4 linked regions of the Drosophila melanogaster genome follow. The protein of the gene in region 2 interacts with the protein of the main gene of each other region in a pairwise test. Each region holds a gene or a part of one and is shown on either strand. Other genes may lie near its edges.

Evidence for each region.
Region 1: the proteins of Cfp1 (region 2) and SmydA-7 interact in a two-hybrid assay, tested with the Drosophila melanogaster proteins (one large-scale study listed by BioGRID).
Region 3: the proteins of Cfp1 (region 2) and CG31121 interact in a two-hybrid assay, tested with the Drosophila melanogaster proteins (one large-scale study listed by BioGRID).
Region 4: the proteins of Cfp1 (region 2) and Usp12-46 interact in a two-hybrid assay, tested with the Drosophila melanogaster proteins (one large-scale study listed by BioGRID).

What each region holds. Positions count from the first base shown.
Region 1 is NT_033778.4:17,042,754-17,047,321, reverse strand, and holds SmydA-7 (SET and MYND domain containing, arthropod-specific, member 7), read right to left. Parts: upstream 2,580-4,568; 5' UTR 2,425-2,579; intron 2,373-2,424; exon of another isoform or gene 2,361-2,372; 5' UTR 2,345-2,360; coding exon 2,292-2,344; intron 2,241-2,291; coding exon 977-2,240; intron 920-976; coding exon 770-919; 3' UTR 554-769; downstream 1-553. Other genes in the region: SmydA-6 (SET and MYND domain containing, arthropod-specific, member 6), read right to left, coding at 1-171, 229-357, 413-477; RhoGEF2 (Rho guanine nucleotide exchange factor 2), read right to left, coding at 3,002-3,190, 3,252-3,362, 3,423-3,632, 3,695-4,568.
Region 2 is NC_004354.4:9,269,886-9,274,952, forward strand, and holds Cfp1 (CXXC finger protein 1), read right to left. Parts: upstream 3,076-5,067; 5' UTR 3,005-3,075; coding exon 2,781-3,004; intron 2,719-2,780; coding exon 2,031-2,718; intron 1,970-2,030; coding exon 890-1,969; 3' UTR 549-889; downstream 1-548. Other genes in the region: aladin, read left to right, coding at 3,629-4,026, 4,087-4,371, 4,429-4,805, 5,042-5,067. UniProt on the Drosophila melanogaster protein: Component of the SET1 complex that specifically di- and trimethylates 'Lys-4' of histone H3. Essential for Set1 association with chromatin and trimethylation of histone H3 at 'Lys-4' at transcription puffs.
Region 3 is NT_033777.3:24,891,568-24,896,444, reverse strand, and holds the start of CG31121 (uncharacterized protein), read left to right. Parts: upstream 1-1,839; 5' UTR 1,840-2,260; intron 2,261-4,609; exon of another isoform or gene 4,610-4,870; intron 4,871-4,877. Other genes in the region: CG11069 (uncharacterized protein), read right to left, coding at 1-34, 94-559, 615-759, 839-1,029, 1,091-1,199, 1,274-1,333.
Region 4 is NT_033777.3:22,748,994-22,753,921, reverse strand, and holds the start of Usp12-46 (Ubiquitin-specific protease 12/46), read right to left. Parts: upstream 3,022-4,928; 5' UTR 2,556-3,021; intron 1-2,555. Other genes in the region: rumi, read left to right, coding at 3,398-3,533, 3,584-4,683. UniProt on the Drosophila melanogaster protein: Catalytic component of the Usp12-46 deubiquitylase complex.

The sequences.
Region 1 (4,568 bases), on a different chromosome or scaffold from region 2:
TCCTCGTGCTCTCTTAACAGCAGGCATTTCAAAACTGGCTGGATTTCGGTGTGCTCCTTTTTCTGAAGCAGCTCCACCTGGTCGTCCGAAAAATTCATTTCAGCAAGCCTTTTGCAATCTCGTTCGTCATGATCCGAGCAATCCTCACACAAAGCTAACAGACGGCACTTTCTAAGGGTTTACATAAGATTCGTAAATGGATAACACATTTGTATGGAGTCCACCTACCGACAAAAACTCTCGGTTAGATTAAAGCACTTGGAGCAGCGTCTTTCGCCCATTAGGGGCAAAACCACGATAGGATTCTCCAGCAGCAGGGTCTCGCCAGCCCGAACATTACAGAGGGCAACCGCAAATCTTCAGGGAAACCCACAGGGGTTAAATATTTTAAATGGGTTATAGATGCACCCACCTGCCCAGCGTGTCATTCTGCTTTATCTCGCACTTCCTTGCAAAATCGTCGGTTACTGCGGCCATTCTCTGTTTCCCGTTCCCTTTGGCTACCTTTGGCATACTGACAACACAACCAGCGCCATGCTGGCAACTTATTTTTAATTGAACGACAATTCTTTATTTATTTCTTGGTCAATGATTCCCCCCACCCAGCCATACGTTGAACCATGTCGCCGGTACACAATGTAAAAGTGGCAACAACTGAAGGGAGCGCATTGTGTTCGCTTCCCTTCGACTAATCAAATTTGTTTTAGACTAAAAATTGCCGGAGCAGGGCCACAAAGTGGATATAAGATATGTACCCAAAATGGGGATATTATCTGCCGTATTTCTTCAAATCGGACTCAATCCGCTCCAGCTCCATTGAAATCCGGTCTGCAAGATAGCCTTCTGCCGAGTTTTCTGGCTCAAAGCGAAGTAGGTCCATTGCTTCCGTGGCCACCAGACTCGCGGTCCTTAAATGAGCCTGTGAATTGCATTTATTTAATAATTGCAATTTTAAAAGGGTATTCACTTTACTCACCACATATTCTTTTTTGCTCAGATCACTTTCGGCAAATTGCAATTCCACCAGCTCCACCAAGGCCAGCAAGTACTCAAACAGACCAATGGCATACAGCTTGGAGATGCCTGGAACCACAGCCCGACAGACGGGCAGTAAGTCGGAGCAGAGTTCCACCCGGCGGGCGAGAAGTTTCTTGCACGGCTGGTCCATGGAGTTCATTAAAGCAGCCGCTCGCAGAATACTGGCAATGTTCTGCTTGATGTCCAGCAGCATGAAATGATTGGGATGGAGCAGTGGCCCGTACTGGGTCAGTAGAGCTTCGTATACCTGCAGGTCACCCATGGCGTCTACTAAGGCCGATCCCACTGCAGCCTGTAGTTCGTGGACCTCGGCAGCGGTTAACAGGGCTCTACAATCCGGGCAGCGCCAGTCTCCAAGTTTTCCATTTGAATCAATCTCGCAAACTGAAAATCCGGGGCACTCCTTGCACTTCAGGCTGCTCATGTGGGTGCCCATCTCGGTCGGATCCAGACAGCGCGAGCAGATACACTCCAGTCTTCTACTTAGACGCAGTTGGTGTTGTCTCTGACTGGTGCCCATCAGAGGATTGGTGTACGAGTTGTAGATGATGTCGCCAGGCTGCAGGGGAACCGCCGCATATAGCTTCATGTTGAACTGTTCATCCAAGGCCACCACCGTGTTTGGAACGCAGTGGTGCGGTAAAGTAGCACCCCAAACAAAAATTCCCTTCAAGGTATCACCATCCTTTGCGGTCACCTCGAAGGAATTACTGTCGATACGTATGCAATGGGCGTGAAGTGCATCCGAAGTTAGCTCCTGAGTGGGTAGAACATCCGCTAGGCCACTCTCCATTAGTGGACGCACCACTAGCTCCTCGTGCTCTTGCCACATTCCTTCTCCGTCGCGGTAATCACTCAGATTTATAGGAACATCGATGAGCATTTGGCAATCGCCTTTTGTACGAGGATTCTCTAGCAGAAGAAGGAGCTTTAGGAGTCCACATATGCCAAAGTTCTTCACAAGAATATCCTTGCAGAGGGCTTTTCCTGCTCCGCTGGTGAAAAACTCACACTCGAATTCATCATGCTGGTTGCAGTCCATGCACAGGGGAAATACCTGACACCTTCGGCATATCACATAGGATTCCTGAAGGCATTGCGCGCACTTCAGCTGATGGCATTCCCAGTGTGGAGCTACCAGCAAGGGTCGCTCCTCCAATATGGTATCTCCCGGTTCGATGGCTATACTAGCCACCAGATGCCTGCACAGAATTACACTTTAACTATTGTTTTAGAAAGCTATTTGAACTTACCTGCCCAACTTCTCATCGTGAGCATGCTGAATATTTTCGCCAAATTCTTGCATCGATTACGTCTGTTGCCTGGCGAGAAAAGTAATTTAGTGATTCTGCCATCGCCGTCGTGGCTTGTGGTTCGTCTACTCACCTAAAACGCACTGAGCAATTATAAATATACTCTGCAGTGCTGCTGGCTGAGGAATATCCCTCTTTTTCAGGAGCCCTGTCGTATTGCTAAGTACTTTTGCTAATTGCGTGCATAGCTCGAACGAGATGATGACTTATTTATAGAATCACTCGTTTGGAAGAGGTGATGCCGCACTAACGTGTCTACTTTTCACTTTATTTTCCCTTTACGGGAAAGATATGTATATGGACATTTTTGTGCTATTCTTCTCAATAACTATGTTGTTTATTGTTCTTTATAAATGTATCAAACATTGTGTGTTTATCTGATATTTTTTAAGTCGATAATATGCATATATATATGTATTTAATTAGTTTTACGAGGGGACAATGTTAGACTTAATTTAAAGTGTTATCGGCTCTTGTGGAATACATAATATTTTAAGAAAACAAATGAAGCTACATTAACAGTAGTAAAAGGCATGCTCTAAGAAAGGCTACTCGTAAAACATAGACGCCGCCAATTCAATTGGTCAAATGCGTGCGGGAAAAACAAGAACAAATATGTATTTTATACAAAAAAAAATTAAACAAGTTTCCTATTCCTCATCCTCAGTGCTAGTAATCCTCATGGCTTCCGCTGTCTCTACCTGGCCGCTGGCGCTTGGTGATGCTGTGGGAATCGGCGTAGGCGTTGGCGTCAGCGAACTGTTGGAAATGGCGTCAATATCATCGTCAAACTCTACATCCTCAGCATGCATCAGCTTCTTTAGATCAAACGGAGTTTCCTGCGAAAAGACACAGTATCAACATTTCTGATATTCTACTTTATTTATTTTGAGTCATTACCTTTACTTCATCAACTCGCTGTCGATCATGCAGCGCACTCAAGAGCTCGCGAAGGTGTTGATTCTCTTTACGCAATCGCTCCCTTTCCATATCGCGTTCGTTAATTTTTGGCTGTTATTAGGTAAATAGAAATTATAGTTCTTATCTCGGCTTAAATAAGTTAGAACCTACCAAAAGCATGGAAATCTGCTCATTCAGTATTGTTACAATGCTGCTGAGTGCATGGCAGGGCACACTCGGCTCCAGCACACTAGCGTGCTGAATGCGATTCGGCCCACAGGTGCTGCTCGATCCTCCAGTTAACTTATCCGTCTCTTTCGGCGATTCAGTTGGTGATGTTTGAGTGGAGCTATCGACCGTGGATGCCACACCTTCTTCGATCTGTAGGAGGACATTAATTAAAAGATAACTTGTCACAAATTGATAACATTTTGTATACTTACGGTTTCCTCGTTGTCTTCCTTTTTGTCAGCTACAGATTTGCTTGCGTTTTCAGCCGTTTTTATCTCCCGGCTCTGGCTTGGTAATTCATCCACCGATGCTGCAGCTTCATTCTTAGAGGTCGTTGGATCTGCCACTTCCTTTGTGATATCCGCCTCCACACATTGCCTCTCTTCATTGCATGATTCACTTAGCTTATCTGACGGCACAGTTTTCACTTCATTATCTTCACCCTTGGTCTCCGTCTTATCGCCTTCGAGTGGTTCTTGTTCCAGTAATCCCTCCGGAACGGCATCAGTGGATTGACGTTTCGAGGCATCTATAACAGATTGTGAAGTTTTCGGCTCAGTATTGAAAGGAGCCAGTGGCGTTGTGGGCCGCTCATGTGGTTTGGACGGAATAGCCGGTAAGCGCAGTTCGTCGATCTCACAGTATCCGTCATCGTCTTCGTGTATGGCAACTTCGTCAAGATCAAGAGTTTGTAGTTTGGGCATCAGCCGCGATGGCGGTATCTGGGCCTGAGCCTGGGCATGCTGCCTATTGGGAGGCGGCAGCGGTGGTGGTGATGAAGAAAACGATGAGGATGGTGCCACCTTCTTACGAAGCTTTTCCTTCTCGTGACAGTGGCCACAAACCGCCGTGGACACCGCTGAGACCTCTTGCTCAGGCGTGACGTGCATGTACTCGTTCAGCATCTTGGTCAGGGTTTGAATCTGATCGTAAGCAGCTAAAGCAATATCTGCACTGTCTTTCGGCGCCTCTGGCATCATGGCAATGTCCACAATCTGGTCGTAGTGTTCCACTGGCAAACGGAAGATATCACAAATGATTTTCTGCTTCTCCAGCAAATCATTCCTAATGGAGGCGTCCAAGCGG
Region 2 (5,067 bases):
TGAACTGTATTCCTGGCTTTGAATCAGCAGGTCGTGTGTGATGTAGAAAAGTTCCGGACAACGACTGGCATTTTTGACAGTTCGTCTGGGGGAACAGTCACAAATCGCCACGACTACTTGATTGCCCGGGTAGCCGGATTCGTTCAGACTCGCTTGAAATTTCCACTGCACTTGTGCGTCCTGACATTCCTTTTGGCTCCCAACTACAGCATGCCCACTCTAATCCATAGCCTCCATCGTTTTCAAGGTCCTGCCGTTTCCAATGGTTGCCCCCCGCTCTTCATTTACCCGGAACCATTGTTTCGGATATCAAAACCCGGACTCGGTGGCCTATGTCTATATGATCTTCAAAATATGTTGAGCGTAGAGTATTCTTTTTTTCATGACTTTGTTTAATGCAGTAATATTAACCTGCATTATTAAAAAAAGCCTACAGCTTAAGAAAATGTATTTAATATGCTAACTTATTTTCTAGATTATTTCTAAATACAAACTAACAATGAACAGAAAACAAATCGTATATAGAAATTATAAATAACTTGAATCCAGCTAATAAACTAATATTAAGGTGTGTGCTAATGTAATCCATGTGAATGATATCCACGGTTGAGCTGGCCTAATGTATTAATAGCATGTTGCTATCAATAAATGCATATTTGATGCTTAGTTTTCAATAACAAACATGGGCGTACCGCCGATCCCGGCGCGTAGCAACCTACTACTGGCCGGGAAGCGGACCCAACAGCTGGCGAGCGTGTTATGCGGTTGCCAGGAGAAAGGCGACACTAGAAACTTTGCGTCGGGTAAGTCCAAAGATTACTGTCGTAGAAAAATATTTCTTGGACGTCAGTTTATTGTTAGTTCTTGCTATGATTAGGGGACTACAAATCTATGTTTTTTTCTGCAGGTATATAATTTGAGTTTTCTGTGGTATTTGGGCCTTCTTTTGCTGCTGCTGCAACAGTTGAAGTTGAAGTTGCTGCAGATGATGTGGCTTCAATTGCAGTTGCTGTTGCTCCTGCTGTTGTTGCTGCTGCTGTTGTTGCTGCTGCTGTGGTTGTTGCAGCTGCTGCTGTTGTTGCTGCTGTTGTTGTTGCTGCTGCTGTTGTTGCTGTTGCTGTTGTTGCTGCAACATTAGCTTCTGCTTTTCCTGGTACTGTTTCTGCTGTGTTTGTATTTGTTGCTGGTGAGCCAGGCGTCGCCTCTGCTTCTCGAACTCTACCAGATGCTCCTGCTGTTTGCGCACCAGCTCGTCCATCACCTCGTGGTTGTAGGTGGAGTGCAGCATCAGGCCGAGCAGGTTCGCTCGCGAGGTGAGCTGCTGCCGCATCACGCGCTCCTGCTCCATCAGGTCGTCCATCTTGAGCCATTGACGCACACGCTCCAGATCTATCTCAGCACGCCGGATCTTCTCCCAGGCGTAGTGCTTGAAGCAATTCTTCTTTGGCGCACGACAAAACTCGCCCGTGGGATTGAAGACGTTGTTCACTAAGGGCGAACCACACACATCCGTATCGTTCACCTTCGGATCCTTGCTGTGCTCCGGACACAATACTCTCAATCGCTTACAGTAAGTCTTACTTGCCGGATTGTAGAAATCACAAAACATATTGTTTCCCTCCATTCGCGTTTTGAATATGCTCCCGAAGCTGGCCTGCGATTCGTATTTGTTGAAGCACTTCTCCATATGCTTGATGGCAGTGCGCGAGTGAATCTCGTGGCCACAGGTGATGCAGTACATGCTCTGTTCGTCCTCCATGTCGGCGGTGTCTTGTGACCCCAATGTATCAATGGAGCTTCGTTTGGCTCGCTCCACCACCATGTTGAGCTCTTCGGAGCGCTTCTCTAGCTCGGCAAGTGCGAAACGCACCAGGGACTGCTTATGACGAATGTTATCAAGATGCTTGCGTGTTTCCTCGGCGGCGCGGCTGGGCGTTAGATTCCACTCTTGCAGTCGTTGCGGCAGAACCTGAGAGTGTAAAGGACTTTGGTGTTTAATTGTCATAGTCTGGCCAAAAAATGAAACTAACCTGGAAGATGCGTTTTGTGGCCAGATTGAAGCCACACTTATCGCTGCAGTACTTGCTCTGCGGTCTCGCATGGGAGCAGCAATTGGGTCCGTAGCACTGCCGGATGCCTTGTAGCTCCGGATTGAGGAATATCTCCGGACTGGCCGCCCGCGGGCCCACTTGGACATTGCGACTCTTGGGTGCCGCCTTTTCCCGCTTCCTACTTGGGCCGGCTTGAGTTGCCTGCGACTCCTTTAAGACCGTCGCCGCCTGGACAACGCAGGTGCGGAATATGCAGCGCGGCTTGTGGCCCACGCGAACGCGGCACGCGTCGCACTGGTTGCAATTGGGACGCCGGCATCCCTCACAGGTACCACAACGTTTGCCCATCTTTGGTTCTCGGGCGCTGCTGTTTTTGCGCTTCGCTGCCGCAGTGGTCGGTGGCGGCGCTTGCTGGCTGGTTGTTGCGGACGCCACCGGTGCAGCAGCAGGCGCAGCTCCCGATGGACCTACGCCCGGGGCATTGAGACTTGTAGAGGCGGCGTTCGATGCGGCTGCCCGTTCGGTGGCCACCAGGCGGAATATGGTTTGTAGTTCGGGATTCTCCTTTTTGCAGCGCCGGCAGTAGTACTGTTTGATGTGTTTAGCCTCCTTCTCGGTGATCCCTATACAGTCGCCGTGGTACCACTCCTCGCAACCATCGCAGCCTCTGGAAAGCGAAGGGTACAAGTAGTTAGCCGGGATCTAGCCCTTTAAGGCCATTCAACTCACATCATGAACCTGGAGCAGTCGGAGGAGCGGCATATGCAGTACGCTTGGTCTTCCTGCTTTAGAATGGTGGCTATCTTGGACTTGCGCTCAGGCAAATCAAATTCCCGTGCGATCTCCCGCCTGATTTCCTCTTTCTGTTTGGAAACCTCCTTTGTAGTTAAAAATATGATTGCCGTGCAGCGGGTGAAACTTACGGTCTTCTTATATTTGCGCTTGTCCGTCATCTCGCAGCAATCTTTCCGACAACAAATCCAGTCCAAATCCAAATCCGTCAATTAAGTTTCATGGAATTTTTTTTTGCGATGGAGATGGTGAATGAAAGGATATCGATAGCCTACTAATAATGTATTGCAGACAATCGATAGGTTCTGGCCTAATAAAATATATAATATTTAGCATAAAACTACGTTGTAGATTTTAATTGATGTATGACTATACAATAAAAACAATTTTAGGTATTTATTGTAAGCTGTGTATAAATATAAAATGCTTCGTAACACTTATATCGAGAGAACTAATTCCATAGTCTTAATAACAAACGATAGTGTGTTCGAGATCTATGAGATTAAATAGAGTTCTTGAAAGAGAAACAACGTGAATATAAAACCTACAAAAGATTGTTACTTTATATATACCTAATTTTTATTTTTCGATAATCTTTAAGATTTTGCCGCGGCCCAGTATTTTCGAAGTTTCGTAAAATTAAACATCGATAGAAAAATTAAGCATCGAATTACCACTGACATTGTCGGCTTTTTCTCACCTCTAATAACCGCGCGGTTTTTTCTTTGTATTTCGTTACCATTTTTTCTCAACTGAACTGAATTGAATGTGAATAGTCTGCAATTATGGCGGCCCTGAGCAACCTAAAACAGTGTCCGCCGTTCTCCACGCTGCCGGATCTGGCGCTGCGGCACAATCACATCCCAGAGCTGGAACGCTATCCGCAGATAAACCTGAACAGCGAACTTCTGGCCAATCCGGCTGGTCAGCGGTACTACGGCGGACAGAGCTTCGTATCTGTGAATGAGGGTGTCCTAAAGCGCATAGCTCGCAGCTTCTTTAATGGCGGATTCTGGAAGACGCTGGAGGAGGCACGCAGCCCAGAGACCAGGGAGCAGGCGCCGCTTATTGCCCAGGCGGGTGATTTAATCGCACAATTTCTGGGCCTGGCCACCGGCCTGAGGATCCTCCCGCACACCCAGCAGCTTAGTGCAGAGCGTATTGCTCAGTTCGTGGAGACCAGGTGGGTGGGGCGCAGCCAACTGACCAATAATACCTAAACCTTACTGTCCCATTCATTCAGGGATTGGCTCAACAGCGATGTGCGCTATCTTGCCTGGAATCAGCACTTCTTTTGCTTAGCCGTAGCCGGTGTAGACGATGTGGTGCGCATCTACACAAAGAGTTCCAGTGCGACCACTGCCACTGTTTTAAAGAGTCCATCCCAAACGCAGATCACCTGCATGGCGTGGCGTCCACTCTGCGCTTCCGAGATCGTGATAGGTTGTCGGCAGGGTCTGTGTTTCTGGGAAGTGGACAGCACTTTGCATTTGGGACGCACAAATGCACCCAGCGAGATTTTTAAATAGTCAGTATAGAAAATTTATCGTTAGTTGGTAAATACATAACTTATTTTCCCTTTTAGCCCAAACAATCTGCCAATAACCTCGATGCAGTGGAACAAGGATGGCACCCAGTTGGCCACCGCCTCAATAGGAGATCGTTCCATTATTATCTGGCAGCCGGACACCGGAATGATGCAGCCACTCAAGCGTTTGGGTCCGCCGGGCTCGCTGCTGAAGTGGTCGCCGGATAATGACTGGCTGTTCGCAGCCACCGTGGATCGGGTGTTCCGCGTGTGGAACTGCCACCAGCAATGGACCACCGAGCGATGGGTGTGCGGTCCCGGAGGCTATGTCCAAACAGCCTGTTGGTCGCCCTGCGGTCGCTTCCTGCTCTTCGTCAGCAGTGCCGAACCGATTCTCTACCGCCTGCAGTTCGTGCAACAGAGTCTGCTATCCTGTAAGTACGAAAGCTTTGAGTACGTATTCAGGGCAGTCTGCTCCCAGTGTCTGAACTGAAACGGTGGTCAGATACAAGGGTGCGATTTGGGGCTGCCCCAGATCAAAGCAGTCAGTAACAGGTTGGCGGCTGTTGCAGCTTACAGACCGCCTGTATAATGCTGACTACAAAAACAAAAACCGGTACCAATGTACTAGTTGATATTTAACATATTCCGTTTTTGTATCTCCTTGCAGCTTCGGCGGATGAGAAGGAAATCCTG
Region 3 (4,877 bases), on a different chromosome or scaffold from region 2:
GAGTCCACAGGAGAAGGTTGATGCTAATAGTTTCCTAAAAACGAAGTCAAGAATTTTATCATATTTGAAAAAAAAGAAGTAAGTTTAACTTACAGATACAGCATAACCCAAACTTTGAGCTCTCCAGGCTTTCCATAGGCCAGAGGCACTTTCCCAGAACCCATGTTGTTTAGAGGGGCATCCGAGATCGGTGTTTCCCGAGAGAAACGTTCCACCAGCGCCTCGATCTGCTGGCTAGACTCCAGGAATCGATCCCGACTGCGACGATCCACAGTGGACAGGCAGAGATAGTACATCAAGGGATTCTCGAGCTGTGGACAAGGGAATCCGATGCCATGAAAGTACTCCAGCATGGCACGAGTGCCTCCTGAATAGACCACTCCGCCCAGGCAGAGGAATAGGGCTCTATCCAGGAATGGGAACACATCGGAGCGAGGTTTCTCCAGCGACAGAAGAATTCCACAGCCCGTCTTCTTGGCCGTGTTGGACAAAATGGATATCAGCAGATAGGCACTCAAGGGATCGAGGCCATGGGTCGGCTCATCCAGCAATAGCATGACTAAAATAACATTTTTGTTATTTAAGGAATCTTTGTGATATATTCATCATTTTACCAGGATCTCTGACCAACTGTATTCCAATAGCCAGACGCCGTGCCTCACTGATATTAAGATACTCCACTCTCTTATGCGCCACTTGGGAAAGGGCCAAATCCGCCAGCACTTGGCGCACTTTGGAACTCTTCAGATAGCCACTCAACTAAGAAGGGTTTGGGTATTAACACAGTCAGTTATTACTTAAAATCTCTTCATATTCATTATTTTATACAAATACTCACTATAGTGGGGGTATAGTGTAGTGTTTGGGCCACCGTTAGACCAGGAACAAAGGTGCAGGATTGGGTGACATAGCCACATCTCTGTTGGAACAATGCCTTGGAGAGCGGAGATCCATTGAGTAGCACCTGACCACGAGTTGCTCCATCGGCACGTCTAGAAATAACATCTAAAAGAGCTCTCTTGCCGCTACCTAAAGTTGGTAAAATGATTATTATTATTTTGTTTTAACAAAATGTAAATTAAAAATATACCCTTCGAGCCCAGAATGGCCATAACCTCGCCGCTGTGCACGGTTAGATTGACGCCTTTGAGCACCAGGGCCGAATTGCCGGCTCCATTGAAACAGCCACCACCATCCACCTGTTGTTCAGGCCAAAAAGAAAACAATAAAGGTTTAATAGCAGGGGGTTTTCACGAGTCTAAAGAGAACGTACCTCGGTGGTGTGGAAAATGTTGTGGGCTTCCAGTACGTAGTCGCTGCCGATCATTTTCATAGCCACCGCTGGGAGAGCCGCTTTTGTTTGTTTATACTTCTCGTGCTCTTTGGGCCGAAAACACTCTGTTCGTAACTCAAGAGTGGTTTGTTAGGAGCTGATTTTCAGTTCCAGGGAGGGAAGAGAGAATATCAAGAGTGTAAAAGTGAGATTGAGATGTAGAGATACTTGATTATAAATTGGTATTTGGCTAAAACTGAAAACTAAAATTTTACACAATAAACAATTAGGAAAAATCCAACACATATTTTTTCAAAAAACTTTAATACATATTTTATATGATATTTTAGATGCTTTATTAAAATATTCTTCGGTAGTCACTTACCTCCGCGAACACGTCCTCACCAACTGAGCGCTCTGTTCCAACTGAACTGAAACTGTTGCTTGCCATTCCAATTGGCATGGCTTGAACCGCTCCGCTCCGCCTGGAAAGCGGCTCTCTCCGGCCAACTCGCTTCCAGGCGAAGCAAGCGGGCTAAGATGGCGGCCGAGGCCAAGTTCAGATCAGTTCGCTGCGAGCCGAGCTCCGAGAGAGTTGCCTCCACCGATCCGCGGTTCGCGTCGATTCGATTTTTTTCTGGCGGCCCCCTAACACACAGTTCCCAGAAGAAAATTACAAAAAAAAAATATGAAAACACATAAAACGCATTTGGAAATCTAATTGAAATATTCACGGCTTAACGGGCTATAATATACACACATATATCTGTGCAAAGGCGAATATTTTTTAATGACCACCGGGAAGTGCATGCAAATGTGGTTATTTGTTGACTCGCGGAATATCCAATAGATACAAAAAAAAAAAAAAAATAAAAAAAGGAAAAAGTGGCCAATATCCAAGTGACGTGAGTGTGTGTGTGAGCAGTGTCTATATGGTCTATATAAAATATGCAGACATCGGTGTAGCCAGCAGATCGACATTGTAATGTAAGTGTTTTGCCCAAGTTATGAATGAGTGTCACCGAGCGGCTAATTAGAGTCCAACTGGCCAACTGGTATTTACTGTTAATTGTATTAGGCCAACGGCAGCACTTGCCACCTCGAACCAAATGAAACCGACGAGTATCCACCACGGTCCACGTTCCATTCCTTTGGGTATAATACTAATACCTTCTGGTTCTTCTGTTTTTTTGTACTCCCCCCCTCTTCTGTTCTTCTGTTCTGTTCTGTTCTGCTCGCGCGGTCGTCACCATCGCAGGTCAAAGATCCCGCGAGCGGGTTTTGTCTAGCAAATGTATCTTAGCCCACACTCCATCCACCACTGCCACTGCTGGCACTTCTTTGCCGCTCTCCCTGCGCTCAGCGCCCTGCAGAGCCCAAGCGATCCAAAGTGGAAGTCCAACTCGATGCCAAAACCAGAACCCAAGTGCCAGCCAAAGCCGGAGTCGCTCAAACAGCCAAGTGCCTGCTGCTCAACTCAACTCCACTCGGCTCGGTTTGTCTTGTCTTTTATTTTCTCTGCAGCTCACTGCTCCGCTGCACAGGAAAAAAAGCGAGATAATAAATCTAATATACAAGCAATATATCATATTTTAAATATTTATGTTTTGTTTCATCAAATGGCTTCATTTCATGTTTCAGCTAATGGCTATAGCATTAGTATAGTGTAAAAAGATATATCCTTGTTGCAAATTGAATAAAACAAATTTATTTAATTATTTAGTAAACTGTTTCATTCAAAATATTTGATATTTTGTTTTTTAATAGTTCAAATTATATTTCCAACATTTTTATATCACATATCATTATGTAGTATTTCTCGCTGTGTGCCAGTGTGTATCTCACAGATACAAGTTTCAGTTTGTTTGTTTGTTTGGCCGGCTGTCTTTGCCTTTGCCATTGCCTCTTTGCGGAGCTGGGTTCTTAGCTCTCCGGGGATCGCTGGTTGTTTGCTCTACCCGCAGATGCTAGCATCGTCTTGGTCTGGTCATTTCCTCGTAAAAACTGCCTTAAACTTACGATCGAGCACTATAGCCATTATTTGTTTTTATGTTTATACTTTAAGCACATAAATAACTTTTTATGCGCCTTAGAATAGTTTGCATAGCTTATGGGTTCTTTTTTTTTGCAATAACGCAAAAGACTTTGACTTTATATAACCATTCAATTTAATCTACTCATTTCTGTAATAAATGATTGCAATATATGTTTAAAGAAGAATAAAGTTTGTCACGTATTTCGATGACCCGGAGAGCGATGGATTTAATTTCGAACAAGATGTGAAAGCCATAACAGGTCTGAAAGACATTTTTCGCTGGGTAGAGGCAAATACTTTATTCCGGCGTGTACTCTTCCTATATCGGCTCATAAAGAATAACCACGCGGCTAAGCAACTTTCACATTCATTTTGCAATTTCGATGCAGCTGCCAATCTGCGCTCACAATCACTTTCAAAATTTCGTGCCGCGGAACTTGATTTCTCATCGAAAATGAGCTGCGGGCTAATGGAGATTTTGGCGATTGAGATAATTTGGGGCTTTAGCACCATTCTCAGGGCCCCCCCAACTGCAGATTATTGTCAAGCTAATGCCTTTGGCCCTTCGCAATGCAAATTCCCAGCCTCCGTTTCGGGTCCATTTCACTGAATCTCGCACCTAATTAGCCATGTCATGTTGGCCGGACCGTTAGAATGCTGTTAAAGCCATGGCCAAGCTCATTGAAAAAGTTCCAAAATGTATTTTGCTTCTTCGAGCTGACTTGCTGGATTGTTTTTCTAGATTTTCCCATTGTCGTCGCTTTTTGCCGCCGTTTTTTGTGGCGTAAATTAGTTAACAGTATTATTATGACCGCTAACGGGGCTCCCTGATTTGTGGCTGCTGTTCAGGCCCCCCGCAAAAAAGATATCAAGCCATTCCGGGGCAGAGAGAAAAAAAAGCGTTTAGAAGCGGACCGACAGGCAGCGATCGTAATTCAATTTCGACAATTTCAATTCCAGTCCAGAAGAAAACAAATACAGAAACTGAGAAAAAAAAAGGAAAACAAATCAAAAGACTTAAGACAGCAACGCGGAGTCTAGACAAAAAGACCAAGGCGCGGCAAAGAGCCAGCTTAAGTTGAATTGATTGTCAGTTATGGCTTTGTGGTGAGTTCGGATCCGGAGTGGGGTGCTGGTGGTATCTAGCATTGGGTATATGGGATCTGGTCTTTGTCTTGGGTCTAGGCTGGTTTTCTGATCGGTTCTTTATAGGTGTGGCTGCATCTAGTTGGCCAAAACTTGTTCTTGTTCTCTCGGCCTGAGTCCTCCATATGTGTATGTGTTCAATTTCAATTGAACTTAGTCGCTGGTTATTCCGATGGATGGATGGATGAATCATTGCATTTAATGATAGCGGACTCTGGATGAAGTCAGCGGCGGGCCATTGGAATGACGATGATGATGATGATGATGATGAGACGGAGACCCTTGGTCGCTGGCAAAGTGAAAACTCAACGAGCAGGAAATGCAAATTCGAAATTTCCCACTTGCATAGGCAATCTCTCCAGCTGCGGGGCCATTAAAAGTTGCGACCATGAAAATTGTGGGCATTGATAGATACGGTACGGG
Region 4 (4,928 bases), on a different chromosome or scaffold from region 2:
AGCCAGCCGAATGCTTCTCCATGACACAGAGCCCATGACCAGATCCGCCGCATTAGCTACATATATGTGTAGTATCACCATGGTGTGCGTGCTGATGATAAGCGCACGGAGAATCAAATCGTGCGCCAGCCGATCAATAACCCAAAATGTAAACAAAACCAACTGTCGAACGCGGTCACGCATGCGTTCGAATAGCCTACTGAAATACTACCAATCGCAATTTGGCCCACTATTAGTTGGTTAACTGGTTTTCTTGCGAGGGGGAGAAGCTGACATTTCCAAGACGATCCGCATTCTATGCAGATTAGAGCCGCCACCGCCGAAAGGCAAGCGATTTTCCAGCTGCGCGAGCAGGAAACTCGTTCCGTTCGCAGGTTAATGACACAAACATTATGTTATTAATGCAGTTGCAGTATATGGCCATTAGCTAACAAAACCCCACCGATGAGCTAATGATGTACGAGCGGTCAGTCAGCAGGCACGCAATATAATCGCACTGAATTATCTACGGACAGGCAATTTCGAAACATCAAAGAATTCGAAAGAAGCTGACACAGCTGGACATGCGATGCGCAGCGAAATGGATATATTTTCAGTCTCAGTCTGCGGCAGAAGAAAGTGTGTGGAATTGAATTAACAAGACGGCAACAATTTCTAAACAAAAGCGTGTCTTAGAGGGCAATATATGTGGAAATTGTAGTAAAATTGATAAGCTCTTAAAATCTCATTAAAAATAAAACTATAATAATGAATCCAGAAGTTCCGAAGAGCATGTCAAAATAGCAACCCAGCCCTGAAGCTAACAGAAATTCAACACACCACTCGGCAGGCGAGTTACCGCTCTGGAAAAGCGATTTTCCAATGCGCAGGCTCACTCATCAGTCAGGAAATTACGGAAAAATGCGAGAGGGTGGAGAAATTGTGTGCGAGAGCGGAGCATAAATGAAAATGTGTTACAGCCACTTGGCTGGCAGGGAAGGAAGGTAGGGAATCTGCATAAACTGCCTATGCCACGTTATGATGAATCATCTGGTTGGGTTAGGCATGCCACATTTCACGTGAACTTCGGAGTGGGAGTTGGTGGAAATGGGTGGTTATCGGTGGTGGGCGGGGGTTCAGTCATTTGCCTGCCCAAAGGAGTGGAGTACATAAATGATGTATGACCCAAGCCAGACAGCGTGACTGCGGCTAATGGCAGCTGTTTTAGCTGGCCAACGACCATTTGGCAGACGTTCTACGGAAAGCATTCTTCGATTATTATCTATAATCAATACAAGAAGTTACGACAAACGACTTCCGGCATTACACAAACGAGAAAGGTTGCCCAAAATGGAAATCAATCGAGTCATTAGAAGGCGAGGGTCGCCACGCCACTGAAAATGCAAATGATTCGAAGTTTTTCTCCCAAGAACCATTGATTGGAAACGCTAGTCGAGGGGCTCCCAATCGCATCGATACGTCTGAATGCGCAGAAAAGATTTACGTGTGACTTCGGTTCCAAAAGCTTGATTATGACCACATATATTTCCATAAACAAAGCGAAGCTTTAGTCAGCGCCAAGCTCGAATTACTGTGTTTGTTTCTTTTTTTTTTTTTTTTGTATTTAACGTTTTCAGTATTTCGATATGGTGTTCCAAACGAGTTTAACGAAAAGACCTCAAAGATAGCCAAGTTAGTTCTTAGTCACTGCAAGGCACAGATACAATTCAACTTCCGCTAACTTTCATCAACAACAATGTTGAATCTGATTAAGATATCATACTACATTATTACAACGAAATGAGTACATTAAATAAGTTGGAGATTACTCCTAACATACTCTAATCCATGTTGTACAATAAGATTTAAAGTAAGCCATTAAAATGGTTTATACATACATATATCTTAGGAAAATGAAAGAGATGTTTAGAGTTACGGAAGTAGGCCTGCACTGCAGAACTCCAGTAGTGCACCTCGCTCGTGGCTAGCGATAATTATCAAGTTAATAACTCAACACTAATTAGTCAGGTGCTTTGATGGACGGTCGGGCTGGTGCGGGAGGGGCGGGGCAATGCGACCCTAGGTCGCGGACCAAAAACAAAAAGCCAGTATATCGCGCCGTCCAATGTGAAAACGAAAGCGATACGATTTTTTTTTGTCGGCGAGCAGGAAAATCGGCCGCTGGATGGGAAACGAAAATCAAAGTCGAGAAACGAAAAGCCCAGGTGGAATGCGGCGGAATGGGAAACTGGAGCTCTCGAAAGCAAACCAAATGCCAGGTAAATTAAATCGCAGCATCGGCGGCGGTAGCAAATCAACTTAATGACGATGGCTGGCAACTTTTCCAACAGTTTTTTCTTCCATTTTTTTTCTATTTTTTGTATTTTATCTGGCGATCGGATCGTGAGGTGAAATGAATTTAAGTTGCCTTTTTTAGGAGCCACAATAAAGGGGCTAAAAAATCGATGAGTGCTCAATTAACTGTTATTCGTAGTACGCCCACACACACACTCACGCGCGCGCACACATACAGATGCAGATACACTTGCAAATAAATAAAAATACATATGTATTACCTTTTTTAGTTGAACTTTTGGTGGCTTTTTGGCAATTGTCTCAACAAAACAACATCGTTTTCGCAATTGGGCCACTCCCACTACGATTTTTCGTTGCCAATATTACAATCCGGGCTTTATTTAGTTGCCCACCACTGTTAAATACAATTTACTTTTTGCAGTTATGTCAACTTCTCTCTTTCAGCGCGGCGTCCTTTGTTGTTGTCGTTGCAAAATTGTTCGTGTAAATTATGTACAATGGTGGTTGTTTCAGGTTGCAGGTGGTCTAAAACACTCGCGTTCGTTGGGTTTACGTGGTTTCGATTGCACTAGGTGCCGCACGCATAATTTGCAAATTGCAAATCGTCGTTTTCGTTTGTAATTTGGCTATTGGCTGGCTTTAACACGGAGAAAACTTTCGACGTTTCTTGTTGGTTTTCTTATAATGGTTGGATCGGCCAGTGTGTGCACACCGCGTCAAAAGTAAAACTCGGCGAACAGTTACTCGCATAGGGTGACCATCACATGGATGGTCATACAAAATAATGGTTACTACTGCAGGGCTTTGCCTGCAAATGCAGTGACATGGTCTGCCTAAGAAAGTAACAGTTCAATCACTGCTTTGCTGCCTGGGCTGCCAGGTAACAAAAAGTTATTAAAAACACAACTACTTCTCCTCTTAAGTTATTTGCAGCTAAATGGCAGAAAGTCTTTTATTTTCTACATCAATTGTAGACATTCATTTTACTTTAAAAACTATGTCCTTAAAAACATTTCTGGAATATCGATAGTTTCAGTTGACTTGGCAACCCTATTGCTGACGCCGCAATCAAAGGCCAACAAATTTGTTTACATCCAAAGAAATGCTAATAAATCATTTAATAGTCGTATTATTAATTAGTTTGGTAGGAACAGGAGGTGCAGAAGATGACGGACTTTGCAGTGCCGATCAAAAATCCTGTGCACAAAGTGAACCCGACCAAATAAACGAGGATGAATGTAAGCAACTTGTTGCCGGCTTCGATTAATTAATTAATCAATTAATTTAGTTAGCTTCAAGATACGTCGCCAGATCGAAAAAGCCAATGCCGACTACAAGCCGTGCAGCAGTGATCCCCAGGACAGCGACTGCTCCTGCCACGCAAATGTTCTGAAACGGGATCTCGCGCCCTACAAGTCAACAGGTGTCACCCGGCAGATGATCGAGAGTTCAGCGCGTTACGGCACCAAATACAAGATCTACGGACATCGCCTGTACCGGGATGCCAACTGCATGTTCCCAGCCCGCTGTGAGGGCATTGAACACTTCCTGCTGCCGCTGGTGGCTACGCTGCCCGACATGGACTTGATCATCAATACCAGGGACTATCCGCAGCTGAATGCGGCGTGGGGTAACGCGGCTGGTGGTCCCGTCTTCTCCTTCTCCAAGACAAAGGAGTACCGCGACATCATGTATCCAGCGTGGACATTCTGGGCCGGAGGACCGGCCACCAAGCTCCATCCTCGTGGCATTGGACGCTGGGATCAGATGCGCGAGAAGCTGGAGAAGCGAGCGGCAGCTATACCCTGGTCACAGAAACGCAGTCTGGGCTTCTTTCGCGGTTCACGCACCTCGGACGAACGTGATTCTCTTATTCTGCTCTCGCGCCGCAATCCGGAGCTAGTCGAGGCTCAATACACCAAAAATCAGGGCTGGAAGTCGCCTAAGGATACACTGGACGCACCGGCTGCTGATGAGGTGTCCTTCGAGGACCACTGCAAGTACAAGTACTTGTTCAATTTCCGCGGTGTGGCCGCCAGTTTTCGTCTGAAGCACTTGTTCCTCTGCAAGTCGCTGGTCTTCCATGTGGGCGACGAGTGGCAGGAGTTCTTCTACGACCAACTAAAGCCCTGGGTGCACTATGTGCCGCTCAAGAGCTACCCCAGTCAGCAGGAGTACGAGCACATCTTGTCCTTTTTCAAGAAAAACGATGCGCTGGCCCAGGAGATCGCTCAGCGTGGATACGACTTCATCTGGGAGCATTTGCGCATGAAGGACATCAAGTGCTATTGGCGCAAGCTGCTCAAGCGATATGTGAAGCTGCTGCAATACGAGGTTAAGCCGGAGGATCAACTTATTTACATAGGGCCTAAAAAGGATGAGCTGTAGCGAAATGAAATGTTATTGTGTTTAAGCATTTCTCATTTTGTATTAAGTTGCTTAGAGCAGCGTGAATCTCTCTGTCCGCATTCCATGCATTTTTGATGTCCAAGATTTAGAGAACAACTCGAATATTTTCCTATTTATATATATAGCATTTATACAATCTTTATAACAATCGAAAGCCATTTGTTTTAAGACTCAAAGTTTAAAATATATTTGGAAGAAATATGTAAATTCTCTTTAAATTTTAA